Caenorhabditis elegans: one gene and its partner. The protein of the gene in region 2 interacts with the protein of the main gene of each other region in a pairwise test. Each region holds a gene or a part of one and is shown on either strand. Other genes may lie near its edges.

Region 1 (4,986 bases), on a different chromosome or scaffold from region 2:
ATATCATATAAACTTGAAAAAAAACGTTGCCACGGTGGGGACTCGAACCCCGGTCATTTGATTGGAAAAGGCTTTCGGCGAAAATCCCACTGCGCCATTCGAACACTTTTTAAAAAATGATTGAAAATCAAAATTTCTTGTAATTTTTGAAACTTCGAGCAATTTTGAGCAATTTTCGTTAATTTTGAGTTGAGAAATCATGTTTTTAACCGATTTTTTTCAGATCTACATGTGCCTTGTCGGTATGGCAAAAAAACGGCGATTAGCTGCACAAGCACCGATATTCGATTTCGACGAAGGAAATACAGATATTCTGCGAAAAACCTCGGAGTTACCGGATCTTCAGCCCCCGCCTGCATATGACGTGCTCCAAGAGCCACCTCCACCAACTTATAGCTCTTTGTTAAGGAGTCAGTGATCTCAATTTTTGAAAAAAATGATTTTTTCAAATGTATGTAATAAACTAATATTGAGAGTTGGTCTTTAGAAAATTAAAAAAAAAATAATTTTTCAAATGTTTATTCAAGAAAACCAAAAGCATTAAAGCATATGAAGTGACGGCCGGAATTGCTTCTGAGCCATGTGAAATCGCTGTCGTGTCTCCGGTGATTCGACGGATATCCAGTGATACCTGAAATTTCGGGATTATTTTATTTTTCAATTATTTCCAATAAGACTTCAGGTAGAACAAATATATGAACTTCTCTTTAAAAAAAACGGTTTAAAATCGATTTTTGAAAAAGAAAATTGTCGAAAATGTCCAAATGACGCAGTGGAATTTTCGACAAGAACCTTTTATAATCAAACTACCTGGGTTCGAGTCCCCACTGTGGCACTTTCTTTTTTCAAAGTTTTATCAGACTAATTAAAAGTAATTAAAAGGTTTTTAATTCAAAATGTCTCACCGCGGACTCCGAATGATGGCTTTTGAAGCGGATTGCTTGTGCTCGCAGTAAACCCTTATTGAGACTCCGTGCGCCAGGGATTCCATTGGTTTTGGGTGGCATTTTATCCGCGTCACGTGAGACGGTGTAAATACTACATTGGCACCTTCTTCGAGCAAATGCTGAAAATTTGTAGGATCAGAAGAAAACTGAAATTCGTGAACCGAGCCGGCTAAGACTAAGCCTTAGCCTAAGTTTAAGTCTAAGTTTAAGCCTATGTTTAAGCCTAGACCTAAGCCTAATTTTTTTTACAAATCACGCTCACCCTATAACACTTGGATACAACCATCGCAAAGAAGTACTCGAACCCAAATTCCACCGTTGGGAATGGCTGTTCCTCTTCCAGCAGGTACGTCTCGTCCTTGATCGACTTGTGCACGAGCACCTCGGTTCGGAGCCTGAATAAACCTTTTTTTAGTGAATTTTCCCTCGCAGCTAAGACCCTTACCCATCCCTAGAGTGCTTGACAATCATAAACTCCAAAAATAATCCAGCAACGTTTTGATTTAACGGCATTACACGTGGAATAGAATCGACGGGGCCGTGTGTTCGGTATGTGACGGCCTCGTCGACTAGTCGGATGAAATCTCGGCCTCTGTAAAAAAAAATTGGTTTCAAAATTTAGGATCGAAAAAAAAAATTTCAGATACCTTAACTGAACCTTGTTGGCTTTGAGATCCTTGATGTTATACCACTCTGCGGCTAGGGATTCCTGATCGGGTTCTGTTTTCAGGTCACCGCCTGGAAAAATACAAATTCAGAAAATGGAATTTGAAAATGCTTTTAAAAAAATTTTTAACCTTTTTATAGCGTATTTCAAAAAAATTGTGCACGTGGCGCAGTGGGATTTTCGATGAAACCCCTTTCAATTGGGAGACCGTGGTTCGAGTCCCCACAGTGGTAAATTCTTTCTTCAAAGCTTCGTTTGGCTAATTCACGTGGTATCAGGGTGTCTGGCTTCATCTACGTATTTCTACAAAAAATGCGGGAGAAGAGACGCAGCCTTTCAAGTGATTTTGTCTGTTTAAGAACGTGCTGACTTCATTTTTTTTGGGCAAAAAAATCCCGCACTTTTTGTAGATCGAACCGTGATGGGACTGCCTGACACCATGTGCTAATTCAAGTGCGTTGAGATGAGAAATCATAGCTATATTCACTGAAAACGTTTCAAAATATCACGCTCATAGTGGTGAGGGTTTAATTTTGAAACATTTAGAGCAAAACTAACAGAATTGGGTCTAAAGGTACGAATTTTGCTCAAAAGTTGTAAATTAGGTAAAAAATTCAAAAATTGTGGTCAAAATTTGCAGAATTTAGTTCAAATTTCTACAAATAAAATGCCTGAACCTGAGAGTTTTTGGCGGGAAATTCAAATTTTTAAGGAACATTTTTGGCGAAAATTCAAATTTTTAATAGAAAAATAAATAAGCTCACTGAGTTCTCACCTGTAATATTACAATAAAAAGCATATCGATACCATCCGGATCCTTGAACTTGTAGTGACAGGAGTTCCACAACATCACAACTGTACCCAGTCTCCTCTTTAACCTCTCGTACCACTGCTTCTTCAATTGTCTCACCAGCTTCTACCCGTCCGGCAGGCATATACCATTTCCCACGACAACTTTTCTTGGCCTCTTGGATTAGGAGCACCTGGAAATTTGAATTTTATAAAAAATCATTTTTTGGGCTGAGCTACTAAAGCTTTTTCGTTTCGAGACCCATCGCCGCAAATAAAAATTACCTCTGTGTCGTCTCCCTGGTTCCGTAGAATAATTGCAGCAGCGACATAGTTTACATTGTCATGTAACCTTACATAGCGACATTCTGGAATATTTAGGTTTTTAAAAATTTGTTTTTTTTTATTATTTTTTTTTCATTCAAAAAGGTTTTTCAAGTATCAAATTTACAACAAAAAACCTTGAAAAACTCACTGCCCAACTGCATATCCGGCACCCTTGGCTCATTTTTCTTCTTCGCAACTGCCCCATTTGTGTGACCATTCAAGTTTTCTGGAAACTTCTATAATTTCCAGATTCCTATCAGTTCAAAGGCTTACCAACTACAGAATCACCATTTCCCATAAGCCGGGAGGCTTCTGGCGTGTGATCTCCGCTTTCGGCGATGTACTCCTCTTCGACTAGGTCCAACTTTCCAAGTGGCATTTTTCTGGAATAAAAATTGGTAAAACTGATATATCTGACGAAATTTTTACAAGAAAATGGTTCCGAAACGCGAAAAAATTTTTTGACAAAAAAGTGCACGGATGGTGTAGTGGGATTCTGGAGGAGTTGGTAATCTCAAGACCGGGGTTCAAGTCCCCACGGTGGCAAATTATTTTTTCAGTTTTTTTATTAAACTAATAAGGGTTTTTTGTGCAATATATTAGTTTTTTGACATTTTTAAAGAATTTTTTTTTTGGAAAAAATTTTACTTTTGTTTTTTGAATTTTTTTAAACAATTTTTTTAAAGTTTTTGGATTTTTAAAAATTTTTTGCAGTGGCTTAAAATCAATATCAATCCTATGAAAATGTTTAGAAATCGTTTTTAAAAACTCCTTCCAACGAAAAACGTATACGAACACCCAAACAAATACACACAATTGAAACGTTTTGGAAAACGATACATTGAGATACGCAGAGATAAAAAGGGCAAAATGCAACGGGCGGAACATCTTTATTAACTGGGCAATGAACTGCGCGAAAACTAGGGTGACGAGATGGGGCACGGCGATTAGAGGGAGAAAACGCCGGGATTGACTGGGAAAATGAGGCGGCGAGGTTTAAAACGGTCTGAAAAAAGGTTCAAAACCAGTTTTTACCAAAAATTTGGGTCATATTACAAAATTTCAGAAAATGTACGAATGGCGCAGTGGGATTTTGGATAGCTTCCAATCTCAACGCCGGGGTTCGAACCCCCGCTGTGGCAAATATTTTTATTGGCTTTTTTAAGCAGTTTTTAATGGCGAGATCAACATTTTGCATGTGTATAGCAGGAATTTCTTAGGATATCGTTGGTTTGGAGGGTGGGTCAAGTACCTTTTGTAGTATCAAATGTCTTCTATAGCTTCCGGTATAAATGACATAGGCTTTCTGAGCATCATAAATTGGAACACATGGTACATAGAGGAAATTATATTTTAGAAAAGAGTGAAAAATTGGTGTCATCTACCGGAGTCGAACCCCGGTGTTGTGATTGGTAGTTTTGGAAAATCCAACTGAGCCATTCGAGCGAAATTTTTAAAGTGTTCAAAAATGACTTAAACTTCAAAAAATTAACATAACTATTAATATTTAGAAAATTTCAGACTATTTGTAATCCCTGTGATCCAAAAATTCCCTCTTGATTCCGGCGAAAACTTGCAAAAGTGCACAAATCGAGAAAACCAAGGAATAGTATATGCTTGCAAGTATGCACACACAACGAAATGCAAACAAATCCATTAAATGGCGTCGTGGGGGCCCTCTCCCCGCCACATTGGAAGGCGGCTGGGTGACTAAAAAGAGCCCCTCCCGCGCCTTTTTGTTTTCTCTGACCTATTTGGAAATGGGGGTAGAGACGCAGAAAAACATGTTTTTCGAATTGAAATTGCACATTGAGCACTTTGTGAGAAAGGATTTTAATTGTCGGAGGTTTGAGCCAAAAATTGGCAGTTTTGGAAAACCAGTTTTCGGTTTTTCTTCATATTCAGATTGTGAGTCTATGATTTTCGAATTCAGCACTATCGAATTAGTCTAGTCACATTAAAAAAAAATTATTAAAAAAGGTGCCACGGTGGGGACTCGAACCCTGGTCTTGAGATTGGTAGATATGAAAAATCCCACTGCGCCATTCGGGCAATATTTCGAAAATTGTCCAAAAATATTGGAAATTGACCATTTAAAAGAATCTTAAACCTATAAACTGTGAAAACATACATTTTCAGGCATTTTTTAGTTTGGTAGGGTAAAAAACTGTGAAAACTGACTTATCTTAAATTTTTTATGTTTTTCGAGGCTTTTTGCAATATTTTTCTAATTGAGACCCTCTCAATTAGTCTAGT
Region 2 (3,298 bases):
AAATTGGAATCACGCATATTGATGCTTGAAAAATTGGTTTCGCGTAGAAATTTTGTCATAGAGTTAACTTGTTCTAATCGGTTCGAAAATCAATGATAAATCAACCAAATATTGAATTTGTTCAATAAAATTTTTTTTTTAATTTTTTTTAAAGCAATATTAATCCCAATATTTAATTATTTTTTCCAAATTTCATCTTGAAAACTCGAATAATCGCGAAATTTCGCGTGAAATTCATTTAATACCGTAAAAGTGTGCAAGCGCGCTCCGTTGGACTTTCCAATTCTCGATTTTCACAACTCTCCCGATTTGAGGCGCTGTGATCTGCAGTTTATATTCTAGTTAATTGTTAAGTCTTATAAATCAGCTAAAAACCAAAAACTCATATTTTTTCAGCTATCACTGCACAATAATTTTTTTCAGATAGTAAGCTCCGAGTTGACGAAACACTGAGAAGCGCAGGAATTAAAGACGGCTCGGCGGTTAATAGATGGGAACCGTGCCCATATTAATACTACAATGTTGCTTTTTTATTTGGAAATAAAGTTATTCGATAACATACGTAGATCAACAAACAATTTTATTATTAAAAAGATTCATCGCTTTGAGTTCCGAACTGGAAACCTTGCTGCTAGATCGCCGAACACCTCTGAAGCCGTCGAAAAATCCGCGTCGGGCTCATCAAAAGCAAGCACGGTGTAGGTGAGCACAGACCGGATCAGATTGGTTTTCTCGGGATATTGCTCGAAAATTCGTTTGATTTGCTGGCTTATTCGTTCTGTCTCTACTGCCGCTGGGCTGGATTCTCGAGGGCGTTTTAGAGACGGCTGAAAGTTTTCAAAATGTTGAGGAATATTGCAAATAAGTCTAAAAAACGATACCTTCTCCTCATCCTCTGCTTTTGGATTCGGCACTGGTGGAGAGATAGGTGAAGGTATTGAAGAACTCGACGAGCTTGCCTGGAGCATCTGACTCAGCTCATGCCTCAGATTCATCGGGTTTTCGAAAGCATTGAGAAATGGATTCTCCAGCTTAACCTTGGTGGGAGTCGAGGTCGATGAGACTTGTGGAATAAGAGATGAGAGGTACTTCATGGCGCTGAAAATTGGAATTTTCTAGAAAAATTAAATACAAGACTACAAGTTAAATTACCTATCATTCTCCTCAACCAACGACATCATATCGGGCTCTTCGAAGAACGATTGCATATCCTCTCCGCTGACGGGCTCCGAATTCCTCGCCTCATTCCCTGTTCGTTCTGCTCGCAACTGCCGATACTTGTAAAGCTTGTCATAGTAAAACCGAAGATCCTGGAACAGCTCCCATTTCTGAAGCTCAAGCTCAGTCTGGATTCTGCTCATTCCGCTCTGGACACAATTGTGAAGACGCTGGCCGAGATTCGACTTGATACTTCGGAATCCGGATCGCATTTGATCTACTGAAACCAGGATTCCTGTCCGCTGAAAAAGCTCGATTCCGACCGTTTCCCAGCGTTCCCGATCAATTTTTTGGTTGCTATTCCATAGGTCTTCTTTTGGCTCCAAAATGTTCAGAAATACTTTTTTGATGAGATTGTCCATCGGGAACTTGGTCCCCTCAATGTGCTCGGTGAGCTTTCGGTAGTCGGTGGCGTTCATCGCGAGCATCAAGTTGAACTCTGAAAATTTTTAAAGTTTTTAGTTAAAAAAAAAGAAATTTGTTTTTTTTTAAATAAAAACTAAAAGATTCTGAAAGAGACAGAGATTAGCAATATTAATTTTTTTCTCTATTTATTACGTGGTGTCAGGCTATCCCATTACGGTGTGATCTACAAAAAATGCGGAATCTTTTTTGCCAAGAAAAATGTGACGTCAGTACCTTGCGAAATCAGATGAGAAATCGGCGTGCTGACGCGTCTACTTTCCCGCGATTCATGTAGATCATGGGACACCTTGGCACCACGCGAACTGATAGTTCAGGACCCCACGTTGCCAGTAAGTTTATCAATGGAGCGCAATTGCAGCTTTACCCCTTTCTCGAGAAAGGTGTAAAGCTAAACTTAGTGAAGCGAAAAGTCAATATTAAAACATTTTTTGACGATGAATTTCGATAAAAGTGGGAAGAGAAAAAGTGAAAAAAAAAACTTTTTTTAGAGTAACATATTTCATTTCGACGACAAAAACTTTCAGCATGATAACTGGGACATAAAAAAGAGGTCGAAGAGACGCAGACAATGTTGAGCACGACAAGAAATTTGTTGTTGACGCGTTTTTGTTAGGCAGCAAGGAAAAATGTTCAAGGAGAGTGATGGGGAGCAGAGAAAAAAGGAAATTGCTGAGGGAGAGAGAGAAAGTTGTTGATATAATAAAGTCAGGGAATGATATGAAATTGAACATTTTTTTGGGTCTCGCCACGGGGTACTGTAGCTAGGAACGTTTAGCTTGCGGCAAGACCCATGACGCTTTTTTCCGGCCAATGGTAAATTGCCGGAATTGAAATTTCCGGCAAACTGGCAAAATGGCAATTTGTGGGGATTGAAATTTATGGCAAATCGGCAAACCGGCAACTTGCCGGAATTGAAATTTCAGGCAAATCAGCAAATAGCCGAGTTGTCGAATTTGCGGGAAAAAAGGCAATTGTAATTTTGCACATTTCTTTTTTCGAAATTTCAAATTTTCAATTTCAAGCGGCAAAATTGTACGCATTCTATGAATGTTCCTACATTTATTTTGAAAATTAAGCAAATTCTATGAAAATATTTAATGAAAACGGTACAAAAATTTCAAAAAAGCATAGTTTTAAATGTTTTCGTCTTATAAAAAATCACTCTGAAAACTTCCGGCAAATCTGATATCCGGCAAACGACAAACCGGCAATTTGCCGAAAAATGAAAATTTCCGGATAAAAGGCAAACCGGTAATTTCAAAAAATTTGCCAAACGGCAATTGTCGCCCACGTCTGAATTGAACCACAAATTAAAAGATATTTTTTAGTTTACCAAACGCAAATTAAACTTTTTTGAAAATTAGTTTTGTCAGTTGTCAACTACGATTTGAAAGTCGATACTAGTTGTGACAAACGTGCTGCAAAAATGTGGAGTGCGGCAAATAATAATGTGGACTGAAGGGGGGAAAGATATGAAAAACTGGACGAGAGATAGAGCATTGGAGACGAAGAGACGCAGACTGGCCGTGGGGTGGAGACGACAAGAAATTTGTTGTTGACGCCGCGTCGCTTTTTGTTAGTCAGCAAGAAAACTGGGAGAGAATTATAGAAAACGAGATAGAGAGGTGGAGGCGCAGGGAAAGAGGGGGACAAA

Evidence for each region. The genes of interacting proteins can lie anywhere in the genome.
Region 1: the proteins of lido-15 (region 2) and ndx-1 interact in a two-hybrid assay, tested with the Caenorhabditis elegans proteins (one large-scale study listed by BioGRID).

The regions. Positions count from the first base shown.
Region 1 is NC_003279.8:12,677,334-12,682,319, reverse strand, and holds ndx-1 (Putative nudix hydrolase 1), read right to left. Parts: upstream 3,114-4,986; 5' UTR 3,110-3,113; coding exon 3,004-3,109; intron 2,957-3,003; coding exon 2,879-2,956; intron 2,772-2,878; coding exon 2,689-2,771; intron 2,598-2,688; coding exon 2,390-2,597; intron 1,686-2,389; coding exon 1,595-1,685; intron 1,540-1,594; coding exon 1,393-1,539; intron 1,343-1,392; coding exon 1,210-1,342; intron 1,067-1,209; coding exon 906-1,066; intron 632-905; coding exon 541-631; 3' UTR 508-540; downstream 1-507. Other genes in the region: T26E3.10 (resistance to Congo red protein), read left to right, coding at 224-418. UniProt on the Caenorhabditis elegans protein: Probably mediates the hydrolysis of some nucleoside diphosphate derivatives.
Region 2 is NC_003280.10:3,810,645-3,813,942, reverse strand, and holds lido-15 (MADF domain-containing protein), read right to left. Parts: upstream 1,662-3,298; 5' UTR 1,638-1,661; coding exon 1,153-1,637; intron 1,099-1,152; coding exon 882-1,098; intron 828-881; coding exon 597-827; 3' UTR 515-596; downstream 1-514.